Linked DNA regions of Arabidopsis thaliana. The protein of the gene in region 1 purifies or fractionates together with the protein of each later gene. This does not show direct contact. Each region holds a gene or a part of one and is shown in the gene's direction. Other genes may lie near its edges.

Region 1 (7,697 bases):
AAACTCAAATCTTTGCTTGGTTTGGATTTTGTTGAGCTACTCATTTGAGCCACTGCATTGTTGTTATAGGTGTACCTAGAAAGTGGATACTATCTTCACGGTTACTGGGGGATTCTTGTGGACAGATATGAAGAAATGATAGAAAACTACCACCCGGGTCTAGGAGATCACAGATGGCCATTGGTGACTCACTTTGTCGGTTGCAAACCGTGTGGGAAATTTGGTGATTACCCGGTGGAACGGTGTCTAAAACAAATGGACAGAGCCTTTAACTTTGGAGATAACCAGATTCTGCAAATCTATGGTTTCACTCACAAATCTTTGGCTAGTCGTAAAGTCAAGAGAGTGCGGAACGAGACTAGCAATCCGTTGGAGATGAAAGACGAGCTCGGGTTGCTTCATCCGGCGTTTAAGGCGGTTAAGGTACAAACCAATCAAGTTTGAATCGGTTTTGCGTTTAGGATTTGTGTTATGTTTCTCGCTATATTTATGTCTTGTGTCTTTGCTTGTTGTTGTACTAAGATGGATGATAAAGTATTGTGCAGAGACATCAGTTAATTCTTTGGTTTTACTTTGTCTCTACGTCTAGAGTTCTATTACGAAATCAAAATGTTGTTTTTCTTCCTTTTTGTTCTTTGTAATCCATTAGAACTTGAGATTTTGTAGCTTCATGGATCAATAATCTGTGTTAATTCAAGAACTTTTTTTTAACCTGATTTCACATTCAACTAATTATTTACTTTTAGTATGCAAAATGTGAAAAAATCACATTGAGTTAGTATAGTTCTGAGATCATATTCACAAGTTTTGTGTAGTTTAGGAGTTTAATTCGAAAAACAAAATTTGGCATGTGGTCAGATTCTTTTGCAGTATGGGTTGTTGTATCTGAAATCTGAATGTCTTTAATTGATAATAAAATCATGTATACGGGCTATTATTAGGGGGAGGCCTTATAAAAGCCCATCTGAAAACTAAAATCACGGCCTAATATATGGAATCCGTGTTATACAAAAATCCAAGATAATTCGTAGATAATGGTGAGAAAATCGTTTGTGGCCAAGCAATTTCGGGTAGGGAGGATCAACAAAGATACAAAAAAGATTTCTTTCTTCTTTATAAAACCCAAATCTCAAAATGTTATCTCGTTTTTTATTTTAAATGTTTTATTTTATTTTGTTGTTGTGTGGTTTTTTTGGTTTTTAGTAAAGAGAAGATATAACAAAACCCTAATTCTCATGAGTTCAAAAACCCTAGATTTAGTGAGCCCATCAAAACATTTTCCATTGGGGAAGATTTTAACATTTGGAGAATTGTGCATAATAAAAACAAAATATTAAACAGTAAATACTTTCCAAAAAGTGACTAAAATATTCTAAATTTACTCAACAAAAATTGAAAATTCTTGACAAAAAAATTACTGTTTTTTAAAATGATACAATGTTTTTCAAATTTTAACCACAAATGATTATTGTACTTCTTCCTCAAATAAAAAAAGAAACTCTATATATTTTGGCTTGAGCCAATGAAGCGACACAGTTTAAAGCGTAGCACAAAAGAGAGCCCTCTTGGAAACTTCACCAACATAGAAGCGAGGGTAATTCGGTAATTTCATCATCATCCTCAAAACACAAACTGAGAAGATAAAATCCCAAGGCAAAGAAGAAAAACGAAGAGTCATTTTTTGTTCGCCGAGTGACCTTATCTCTCCCAATTCTCTCTTCTTCAAAAGAGAGAGAGCAGCCAAATTCTCAATCATAAAAACCTTCACACAAAAAAGGGTAAATTCCTTTAAACCCTATCTATCTATCGCTATCTCCTTCCTCCACAAGTTTGGCGGAGAAAGAGTCTCAGTAGCAAAGCGGAAATGGACTCAAAGTCGGTTACTCCAGAACCAACCAACCCCTTCTACGCTTCTTCGGGGCAATCAGGTTTTTCTTCTTTCTCGTTTATATCTTCTTTAATCTGCGTTTTTGGGAATAGGGTTTTAATCGGAAGGATATTTTGTTATCAGGAAAAACCTATGCTTCTGTTGTCGCCGCCGCTGCTGCTGCAGCCGCCGATAAGGAGGATGGTGGTGCTGTGAGTAGTGCCAAGGAGTTGGATTCCTCATCGGAGGCTGTGTCTGGTAATTCGGATAAGGTTGGAGCTGATGATTTATCTGACTCCGAGAAGGAGAAGCCGAATTTGGTGGGTGATGGGAAGGTTTCCGACGAGGTGGATGGTTCTTTAAAGGAGGATTCTACTACTCCTGAGGCTACTCCGAAGCCTGAGGTGGTTTCTGGTGAGACAATTGGTGTAGATGATGTTTCATCGTTATCTCCGAAGCCGGAGGCTGTTTCTGATGGTGTAGGGGTTGTGGAGGAGAATAAGAAGGTTAAGGAGGACGTGGAGGATATTAAAGACGATGGTGAGAGTAAGATTGAAAATGGGAGTGTTGATGTTGATGTGAAACAGGCTTCCACAGATGGGGAGAGTGAGAGTAAAGTGAAGGATGTGGAAGAAGAAGATGTTGGAACAAAAAAAGATGATGAGGGGGAGAGTGAGTTGGGTGGAAAAGTTGATGTTGACGATAAAAGTGATAATGTTATTGAAGAAGAGGGTGTGGAGTTAACTGATAAAGGAGACGTCATTGTGAACTCGTCCCCTGTAGAATCAGTGCATGTTGATGTGGCAAAACCAGGGGTGGTTGTTGTAGGAGACGCAGAGGGAAGTGAGGAGTTGAAGATTAATGCTGATGCTGAAACTCTTGAAGTGGCTAATAAGTTTGATCAAATTGGGGATGATGATAGTGGTGAATTTGAACCTGTGTCTGACAAGGCCATTGAGGAGGTAGAAGAAAAATTTACTAGCGAATCAGACTCTATTGCAGACTCCTCTAAGTTAGAATCTGTGGATACCAGTGCTGTAGAGCCAGAGGTTGTAGCTGCCGAGAGTGGGAGTGAACCAAAGGATGTGGAAAAAGCCAACGGATTGGAGAAGGGTATGACTTATGCTGAAGTAATCAAGGCAGCTAGTGCAGTAGCTGACAATGGAACCAAAGAGGAGGAGAGTGTGCTCGGTGGCATAGTCGATGATGCAGAAGAAGGTGTTAAGTTAAACAACAAAGGAGACTTTGTGGTGGACTCATCTGCTATTGAAGCTGTGAATGTAGATGTGGCAAAGCCAGGGGTTGTTGTTGTTGGAGACGTAGAGGTGAGTGAGGTGCTGGAAACTGATGGCAACATCCCTGATGTGCATAATAAGTTTGATCCAATTGGCCAAGGTGAAGGTGGTGAAGTTGAACTTGAATCCGATAAAGCCACAGAGGAGGGAGGAGGAAAGTTGGTTAGTGAAGGAGACTCTATGGTTGACTCCTCTGTGGTGGACTCTGTTGATGCTGATATCAATGTTGCAGAGCCAGGGGTTGTGGTTGTCGGGGCGGCTAAGGAGGCTGTAATTAAGGAAGATGATAAAGATGATGAGGTTGACAAGACCATCTCAAATATTGAGGAACCTGATGACCTGACTGCTGCATATGATGGAAATTTTGAATTGGCTGTTAAGGAAATATCAGAGGCTGCCAAAGTAGAGCCAGACGAACCAAAAGTAGGTGTGGAAGTAGAAGAATTGCCTGTTTCTGAAAGTTTAAAAGTGGGTTCAGTTGATGCAGAAGAGGATTCAATTCCTGCAGCTGAGTCACAGTTTGAGGTTCGGAAAGTTGTCGAAGGGGACAGTGCTGAAGAGGATGAAAACAAGCTCCCAGTCGAAGACATTGTTTCTTCTCGTGAGTTTAGCTTTGGAGGCAAGGAAGTGGACCAGGAACCTTCTGGCGAAGGTGTTACCAGGGTTGATGGGTCTGAAAGTGAAGAAGAAACTGAAGAGATGATATTTGGGAGTTCTGAAGCTGCAAAACAGTTCTTAGCAGAGTTGGAAAAGGCTTCTTCTGGTATAGAGGCACATTCTGATGAAGCAAACATTTCTAACAATATGTCAGATAGGATTGATGGCCAGATTGTCACCGATTCTGACGAGGATGTAGACACAGAGGATGAAGGTGAGGAGAAAATGTTTGATACTGCAGCTTTGGCTGCGCTTTTGAAGGCAGCCACTGGTGGTGGAAGTTCAGAAGGTGGCAATTTTACCATAACATCTCAGGATGGCACGAAGCTTTTCTCTATGGATCGACCTGCTGGTTTGAGTTCATCGTTAAGGCCCTTGAAGCCTGCAGCAGCTCCACGTGCAAACCGTTCCAACATCTTTTCCAATTCTAATGTCACAATGGCAGATGAGACTGAGATTAACTTGAGCGAGGAAGAGAAACAGAAATTAGAAAAGTTGCAAAGCCTCCGTGTGAAGTTTTTGCGGCTTTTGCAAAGGTTGGGTCATTCGGCAGAAGATTCAATTGCAGCGCAGGTTCTTTACCGTCTTGCACTACTTGCTGGGAGACAAGCAGGGCAGTTATTCAGTCTTGATGCTGCAAAGAAGAAGGCTGTGGAGTCTGAGGCTGAGGGCAACGAAGAATTGATCTTCTCCCTAAACATACTGGTCCTTGGAAAAGCCGGGGTGGGAAAAAGTGCTACTATAAATTCCATTTTGGGAAACCAGATTGCGTCCATTGATGCTTTTGGGCTCTCAACCACTTCGGTTAGAGAAATTTCTGGAACGGTGAATGGTGTCAAGATTACCTTTATTGATACTCCGGGTTTGAAGTCTGCTGCGATGGATCAAAGTACAAATGCAAAAATGTTGTCCTCTGTAAAGAAGGTAATGAAGAAGTGTCCCCCTGATATTGTACTATATGTAGATCGTCTTGACACCCAGACCAGGGACTTGAACAATTTGCCCTTGCTAAGGACGATTACTGCTTCTCTTGGTACATCCATATGGAAAAACGCTATAGTGACATTGACCCATGCGGCTTCTGCCCCTCCTGATGGCCCATCTGGCACCCCATTGAGCTATGATGTGTTTGTAGCGCAGTGCTCACATATTGTGCAACAGTCTATAGGACAGGCTGTTGGAGATCTACGCTTGATGAATCCAAGTCTGATGAATCCAGTTTCACTTGTTGAGAATCACCCCTTGTGTAGGAAGAACCGGGAGGGAGTGAAGGTTCTCCCGAATGGCCAAACTTGGAGATCTCAGCTGTTGCTATTGTGTTACTCCCTGAAGGTTTTGTCAGAAACAAATTCTCTATTGAGGCCTCAAGAACCATTGGACCATCGTAAAGTATTTGGTTTCCGAGTTAGATCCCCGCCTCTCCCTTACTTGTTGTCTTGGCTGTTGCAGTCCCGTGCACATCCTAAGCTCCCTGGAGACCAAGGTGGTGATAGTGTTGACTCTGATATCGAAATTGATGATGTGTCTGATTCTGAGCAGGAAGATGGGGAAGATGATGAGTATGACCAGCTGCCACCATTTAAGCCTCTTCGAAAAACCCAACTTGCAAAGCTCTCAAATGAACAGAGAAAGGCATATTTCGAGGAGTATGATTACCGTGTAAAGCTCCTGCAGAAGAAGCAATGGAGAGAGGAATTAAAGAGGATGAAAGAAATGAAGAAAAACGGGAAGAAGCTGGGTGAAAGTGAGTTTGGTTATCCGGGAGAAGAAGATGATCCAGAAAACGGGGCTCCAGCTGCAGTGCCAGTTCCATTACCCGATATGGTTTTGCCACCTTCATTTGATAGTGATAACTCAGCTTACCGATACCGATATCTGGAACCCACTTCACAACTCCTAACCAGGCCAGTGTTGGATACCCATGGTTGGGACCATGACTGTGGATATGACGGCGTCAATGCAGAACACAGTCTTGCTCTAGCTAGCCGGTTCCCTGCCACAGCTACTGTCCAAGTCACCAAGGACAAGAAAGAGTTCAACATTCATCTGGACTCCTCTGTGTCTGCTAAGCACGGGGAGAATGGATCCACCATGGCAGGGTTCGATATTCAGAATGTAGGCAAGCAGCTGGCATATGTGGTCAGAGGAGAAACCAAATTCAAGAATTTGAGGAAGAACAAGACAACTGTTGGAGGGTCAGTGACATTCTTGGGAGAGAACATCGCCACTGGGGTCAAACTCGAGGACCAAATAGCACTGGGGAAAAGGTTGGTGCTTGTGGGCAGCACTGGGACAATGCGATCACAGGGAGATTCGGCCTATGGTGCGAACCTCGAGGTCAGGCTTAGGGAAGCTGATTTCCCAATTGGACAGGACCAATCTTCTTTTGGGCTGTCTCTGGTAAAGTGGAGAGGCGATTTAGCCCTTGGAGCCAATCTCCAATCTCAAGTCTCTGTTGGAAGGAACTCAAAGATTGCGCTTCGTGCAGGACTTAACAACAAGATGAGCGGACAGATCACAGTCAGAACCAGCAGCTCGGATCAGTTGCAAATCGCTCTCACAGCCATTCTTCCAATTGCCATGTCCATCTACAAGAGCATTCGACCCGAAGCGACGAACGACAAGTACAGCATGTACTAAATATGCTGATGAATGCTGCAGAATGATCTTTTCTTTTATTACTGGTTTTTAGTTCATGTTTTTCCCCCACTTTAATAAAAACTTTGTTGAAGTTTATCAAAGTTGTATTTTGGTTCTGTTGAGAGGTTCCCATCGGATTTAATTTATCATGTATCAGTAATTCTTCACTTTCATTAGCCCTTCTCAGCTTCTCTTGCTGTTCTTCAGATAATGGAATCTAGTTCAGTCTTCTTTTGGTCTACGTCTCATGCTAATGATGTTGCTTGGTTTGAGTTTGCTAATTTGTTACTAAATTTCTGCAGAAGATACAAATCACTCGGTGAAGAATCTTTAAAGCAGGTGCGTAGCCTGTAACTGTTGATAAGATTTTGTACTAGAACCCTCATCTCATTGTGTTCTTCACCAGGATCTTACTGTTCTTCCTTGGTCCCTTGAAGGCAATGGTATGTTTTTTATAAAAATGCTTTGTAATAGATTTTCATTCTTATATAATATCTGGAAACTATTGGAGTATCGTGGTGAAGTAAACTTGATGATACTAGCAGACAAAACTCCGAATAAAGGATATTTCTTGGTGGACTTAATCTTTATGGTTTATGTGAATATTTGATGTAGCAAAGCCTCTAACTTAAAGGATGACCAGAGTCTGCAAATATATGGCTGGCTTTACTCGCAATTCTTTGGGTAGCCACAAAGTCATCAGAGTAATGAGACGAGCAAACAGTTGGAGATAAACACTAGGTGGACTTTCTTCACCCTGCGTTTACGGCGGTCAAGGTACAAAATTGATGGTGAAAAACACAAACTTGCTGCTCTAACCGTTTCTGTTATTTATAGAGAGGTGAATAGGTCCAGAAATCTGATGTGTTTTGTTTTGTCTGATTTGAAGCTTACGTCTATATTTTACTTGTCATTTTCAGACATGACAAAGCAAGGAAACTTTAAGGATAAGAACGTTCAAAGTCTTCTTAAGTCAACTTCTTTCGCCAGGAGAAACGTTCCAAAGTAAGATTTCCACCAGACTAAAGTCCTTACATACTATTCTCACTAGTCAGTATCTCCATAGTTAAGACATCGCAATCTTTGCATTAGTTAACTAATTGATTTATTTTAGAATAGCTTGAAGATTAGATAAATAGTTTTTGCCAAAGATACTCTCAAGAGCATACACACACACTCACATAACTGAAAGAAAACAGAGGATACAACAGAAAGAAAGTACTGAGAAATTGGGCAAT
Region 2 (5,915 bases), on another chromosome or scaffold:
ACTGATAGCTTTAGATATCACTCGAGAAAGTTCTCTATCGTCTTCGCTAGGCTCAAACTTCTGCGATATGTATTCCTTCATTGATACGCCTTTGTCCCATACCTGGTTACAAACACAAGATGATTGACTGATGTATTTACCTAAATGCACAAACAGATAGAGAACTTTGTCGTACCTTGGTATTGAAGCCAGTGGGCTGGTTAGTTCCGGCAGTGTTGATTTCTGCAACATCATTTACCTCTTCTTCTCGCTCTGTTGGTTCTGGAAAAGCCATATCTTGAATCTTCTTAGTTATAGCTTGAGTTGCGTCAGAGACTTTAGCATAACCAGGTGCTAGCTTCTCTGTCACAGTTTCTGTTACTGTCTTGCTTGGACTAATAGGTTCCTGCTGGCTCGTGCACTCTTTCCTTGTCTTCTCAGACGATTCTGTTACTATTGTTGTTGTGTCAGAATCAGCAGGCTTCTCTTGCTTGACATCAGATAAAACATTCTTCTCAGAGATCACAGGATGTTCTGTTTTGGAACCATTACAATCTTTTTGTTCTTGTTCAGCGTCCTGTTTGGCTGGGAGAACAGACAAGACATTTGTCTCAGTGATCACAGGATTCTCTCGGGGATGCTGCCTTGCTGTCTCCTTTAACTCTTCAGGTGCCTTCTTTGATTCATACACTGAAAATAACACAAGAAGATCGATCAGTTTTAAGCAAATTCCTAAAAGGGTGGTTGTTACTTATGAAGCTTTGTTCAATTTCATTTACTTGGGGCTCCAAGATATTCAGGATCTTCTTCTTCTTCTTCTCCTCCTTCTTCTCTGACTTTACGGTCTTTTGACTTGTCACGTGGTGACAATGACGCATAACCAACTTCTCTAACTTCATGATCTTCGGATCTGCAAAACGGTGACATGGTTGCATCACCTTCTTCATCATGTCTCTTCTTGGTGCTGAGACTGTGCTGCAGTTTTTTCGCCTTATCCTTCATTTTAGAGAACAAAGATTTCTTATGGTGAGAATGTTCTCCATCATTTTCTTTTCTTGGTGAACCAGAAGGTGACCGCTTTGAAGCTTCACCAGCTGAAAAAAAGTATGACAAACAGATTTCAAACCAAGAGTTTGCGTCCAAAATCATCAAATCACTGAGAGTAAACAAAATGGATATTATCATTTCTTGGAGAGACTTACATTGGTGACGCTGGCTAAGTGTTGAGAAGCTAGGATTTCCAGAATGATCAACATGTGTTTTTAAGCTTTCGAGCTCAGCGACGGGGTCTAGTTGACGCGACATTTCAGAAACACAAAGTTCTTGTAGATGTTCTGTTTAGGAACTCTGATCCTCTGAGAACAACATAAGATAGATATAAGACAAGAAAAACTGTGCATGTCGTCTTGTTTCTCCGAGGTTCTTGGACAAACCATAAGAAAAAAAAATGCTTAAAATAGTCATGGTCTCTTATTGGAGAAGCATGAAGGGAAGACAAAGTCTTGGCCTGAGAAATTGACGTTTGAAGCTGAATTATAGGACTCACATTTGTAGAGTTTTCTAGAGAAAAACTGGAACCATAAATAACAAATACACTGTTTAAAGAACTTAAGCAAAACTTGTCTCTGAACTTTAATGACCAAAATATTAAGACTATGTGAGAAAAATGTAAGAACACATTTGTCTGGATAAAATGCATAAGTTACAGAATTATCACAGACTAAACATTTTTCAAGAACCTAGTCAGAAGTTTACTCATTTGTCTCACTGAAACTGCGTGCTGTTTCTAACTAAAGTAAACGTCACGCAGTTCTATGTTAAATAAACAAAACGTAATGTAGTCTAAAAGGAAAGTCTCTCTACCTGCTTAAAACCCAAAAGTACATTTTTTCGCCGAAGCCAAAAATCTTCACTTGCTTCTTCTTCTCTCTGAAACCTTATCTTCTCCGCCCATGGCCGCCTTCTCCGTCAACGGGCAGCTTATCCCGACGGCAACAAGCTCCACTGCTTCCACCTCTCTCTCTTCCCGTCGGAAATTTCTCTCTCCTTCCTCGTCTCGTCTCCCTCGCATCTCCACTCAATCTCCTCGTGTCCCATCGATAAAATGCAGCAAAAGCTTACCTAACCGAGATACAGAGACTTCCTCAAAGGATTCTCTCCTTAAAAACCTAGCTAAACCTCTAGCCGTAGCCTCAGTCTCCTCCGCTGCTTCATTCTTTCTGTTCCGAATCTCGAATCTTCCGTCGGTTCTGACCGGTGGTGGAGGAGGAGGAGATGGGAATTTCGGTGGATTTGGTGGTGGAGGTGGTGGTGGAGATGGAAATGATGGTGGATTTTGGGGGAAATTGTTTTCTCCTTCACCAGCGGTTGCTGATGAAGAACAATCACCGGATTGGGATTCTCATGGTTTACCGGCGAATATCGTTGTGCAATTGAACAAGCTTAGTGGTTTCAAGAAGTATAAGGTATCTGATATTATGTTCTTTGATCGACGGAGACAAACCACTATTGGTACTGAAGATTCCTTCTTCGAGATGGTCTCGATTCGTCCTGGTGGAGTTTACACTAAAGCTCAATTGCAGAAGGAGCTTGAAACCCTAGCTACTTGTGGAATGTTTGAGAAAGTTGATTTGGAAGGGAAAACGAAACCTGATGGAACCCTAGGTGTTACAATCTCGTTTGCTGAGAGTACATGGCAATCTGCTGATAGGTTTAGATGTATTAACGTTGGGTTAATGGTACAGTCGAAACCTATTGAGATGGATTCAGATATGACTGATAAAGAGAAGCTTGAGTATTACAGGAGTTTGGAGAAGGATTACAAGAGGAGAATTGATAGGGCACGGCCTTGTTTGTTGCCTGCACCTGTGTATGGTGAGGTTATGCAGATGTTGAGGGATCAAGGGAAAGTGAGTGCTAGGCTGTTGCAGAGGATTAGGGACCGTGTTCAGAAATGGTATCATGATGAAGGGTATGCTTGTGCTCAAGTTGTGAATTTTGGGAATTTGAATACTAAGGAGGTTGTTTGTGAAGTTGTGGAAGGTGATATAACTCAGCTAGTTATTCAGTTTCAAGATAAGCTTGGTAATGTGGTTGAAGGAAATACTCAAGTTCCTGTGGTGCGCAGGGAATTGCCTAAGCAGGTATGTTTCTCAAGTTCTGCTATGTCAGATATGTCATTGTTGATGTGATCATGATTTAGTATAGGATGATGACGAAAGTGTAGTTATGTTATAGATTGATATGTCAGGAAAAAATTGACAGACTTTTAACTTGAACTTGCTATTTAAGTCTGATGGATGTAAGAGGTTTAATTGCTTCAATGAACTCATTGTACAAATGTTTTATATTCCAGACATGTAATGATATATCTCATTTGTTATGTTAGTTTTAGTGATAGTTTCGATGTTTCGTTGAACAGCTTCGCCAAGGCTATGTTTTCAACATTGAAGCTGGGAAAAAAGCTCTCAGTAACATCAATTCATTGGGGCTGTTCTCTAACATTGAAGTCAATCCACGCCCAGATGAGAAAAATGAAGGGGGCATTATTGTTGAGATCAAGCTTAAGGAGCTAGAACAGAAGTCAGCTGAAGTCAGTACAGAATGGAGTATTGTTCCTGGGCGTGGAGGAGCTCCCACATTGGTATGAATCCTTCCTTACTGAAATAAGTACAGATTGTAAAATTTGAGAAGTTCCATTGAGTTTGATTGTTATTGTTTATATGCATCAGGCTTCATTCCAGCCAGGTGGTTCTGTTACTTTCGAGCATCGAAACCTCCAGGGTCTTAATAGGTCTCTCATGGGTTCAGTGACCACTAGCAACTTCTTGAATCCTCAGGTACATTCGATAAGCTTACATGATTGATACATCTCTGGTTCAACTTTTCGGTTGATAACATCCATCTATTTCTGTTTCTATGTGCTAAGCACAAACCTTATGTTACATTTTTTCCTCAGGATGATCTTTCGTTTAAGCTTGAGTATGTGCACCCGTATCTGGATGGTGTTTACAATCCTCGGAACCGAACATTCAAAACAAGCTGCTTCAACAGCCGCAAACTTAGCCCAGTATTCACTGGAGGACCTGGTGTTGAGGAAGTGCCACCAATTTGGGTTGACCGAGCTGGTGTGAAAGCTAATATAACTGAGGTAAGCTTGCCAATCCTCAGTGCCATAATCGACTTATTTTGTCCTACAAACACTTAACTGAAACATATTTTCATGCAGAACTTCACCCGTCAGAGTAAGTTTACATATGGACTTGTGATGGAGGAGATAACAACCCGAGATGAAAGCAGTCACATTGCTGCAAATGGTCAGAGACTACTACCTAGCGGTGGAATCAGTGCTGATGGACCTCCAACAACTCTCAGTGGTACCGGTGTCGATCGAATGGCTTTTCTACAAGCCAACATCACCCGTGACAATACCAAATTTGTTAATGGGGCAGTTGTTGGACAGAGGACTGTCTTTCAGGTTTGCTTTCCCAATGATCAAATGAGATTATAAGGATGAGTCATCTGTATATTGTAAGCTTTACACAATGTATTTGCAAATCACAGGTTGATCAGGGATTGGGTATTGGGAGCAAATTCCCGTTCTTCAACCGCCACCAGTTAACCATGACAAAATTCATTCAGTTGCGGGAAGTAGAACAAGGGGCTGGTAAGTCACCACCACCAGTTCTAGTCCTCCATGGGCATTACGGAGGCTGCGTTGGCGACCTTCCAAGCTACGATGCTTTTGTCCTCGGTGGTCCGTACTCTGTCCGTGGCTACAACATGGGAGAGCTCGGTGCTGCTAGAAACATTGCCGAGGTAATACAGCAAACACTCAAAACAAAAACAGTCTTTTCTCCTAAACCCGAAAAATATGTGTGTCTAATTTGGTTTCATGGATTACAGGTCGGTGCTGAGATCAGAATACCCGTGAAGAACACACATGTCTACGCTTTTGTTGAGCATGGAAATGATTTAGGAAGCTCAAAGGATGTGAAGGGAAACCCTACAGCAGTGTACAGGAGAACGGGTCAGGGTTCATCCTATGGTGCAGGTGTGAAACTCGGTTTGGTCCGAGCTGAGTATGCTGTAGATCACAACAATGGAACCGGTGCTCTGTTCTTCCGATTTGGAGAGAGGTATTAAGGTAATGTGAGAAGCAGGCTCATGTTATCCACCTTAGTCTTTTCATTTTCTCTGTTGAGGATCTGCTATTTTTCTCTTTTTTCCTTTTCTTTTGTGTTTTCTTTTTTTTTTTCTACTTCTTTTTCAATAATTGTTTAATGTTAGTGTTTGATGACGTTGCTGAGTTGTGCTGAGAATCGGGAAAGAGTTTGTTCTTCGTAATATGTCTAGACTTTTGTAGGAAAATTTTGAAACTTTCAAGTTTCAAAAAATCGTATGAATAGTTGACAAATGAAAATTTATATTGGTAACACGTCTGTCTGCATCTGAGTTCTCTTTTAAAAATAACGAATAAGGGATAGTGCAATAGAATTTAATCAAATGTCAACACCAAACATCTACAAAGTCAAGTGTCAGAGGCTTTCGAAAACTTGAAATTGTTGACATTAGGAAACAAAGCATATCTTCAATCTTCTCCATATTTTGAAATCTTTCAATTTGATTCTGTTGAGATGGTAGATGCTGTCACTGGTTTCGTTTTGAATAAGATCGGCGGCTATCTCATCAATGAAGTATTGGCGTTGATGGGAGTCAAAGATGATCTAGAGGAGCTGAAGACGGAGTTGACGTGCATCCATGGTTATCTTAAGGATGTTGAAGCTCGAGAAAGAGAAGATGAGGTCTCGAAAGAGTGGACAAAACTGGTTTTAGATATCGCCTATGATATCGAGGATGTTTTGGACACCTATTTCTTGAAACTTGAAGAAAGATCACTAAGACGAGGCTTGTTGAGATTGACCAACAAAATAGGC

The links.
Region 2: the proteins of TOC159 (region 1) and TOC75-III purify together in Arabidopsis thaliana (affinity purification with western blotting, with the first as the bait; 2 studies listed by BioGRID). This does not show direct contact.

The regions. Positions count from the first base shown.
Region 1 is NC_003075.7:1,102,902-1,110,598, forward strand, and holds the start of TOC159 (translocon at the outer envelope membrane of chloroplasts 159), read left to right. Parts: upstream 1-1,664; 5' UTR 1,665-1,864; coding exon 1,865-1,928; intron 1,929-2,011; coding exon 2,012-6,459; 3' UTR 6,460-6,798; exon of another isoform or gene 6,799-6,865; 3' UTR 6,866-6,902; exon of another isoform or gene 6,903-7,074; 3' UTR 7,075-7,236; intron 7,237-7,379; 3' UTR 7,380-7,464; exon of another isoform or gene 7,465-7,697. Other genes in the region: XT2 (UDP-xylosyltransferase 2), read left to right, coding at 70-444. UniProt on the Arabidopsis thaliana protein: GTPase involved in protein precursor import into chloroplasts. Seems to recognize chloroplast-destined precursor proteins and regulate their presentation to the translocation channel through GTP hydrolysis. Required for chloroplast biogenesis.
Region 2 is NC_003074.8:17,215,313-17,221,227, reverse strand, and holds TOC75-III (translocon at the outer envelope membrane of chloroplasts 75-III), read left to right. Parts: upstream 1-1,816; 5' UTR 1,817-1,931; coding exon 1,932-3,122; intron 3,123-3,400; coding exon 3,401-3,622; intron 3,623-3,710; coding exon 3,711-3,818; intron 3,819-3,937; coding exon 3,938-4,129; intron 4,130-4,207; coding exon 4,208-4,456; intron 4,457-4,542; coding exon 4,543-4,797; intron 4,798-4,884; coding exon 4,885-5,124; 3' UTR 5,125-5,415; downstream 5,416-5,915. Other genes in the region: AT3G46750 (low-temperature-induced protein), read right to left, coding at 1-102, 176-669, 759-1,073, 1,182-1,284; AT3G46735 (uncharacterized protein), read right to left, coding at 5,749-5,854; AT3G46730 (NB-ARC domain-containing disease resistance protein), read left to right, coding at 5,616-5,915.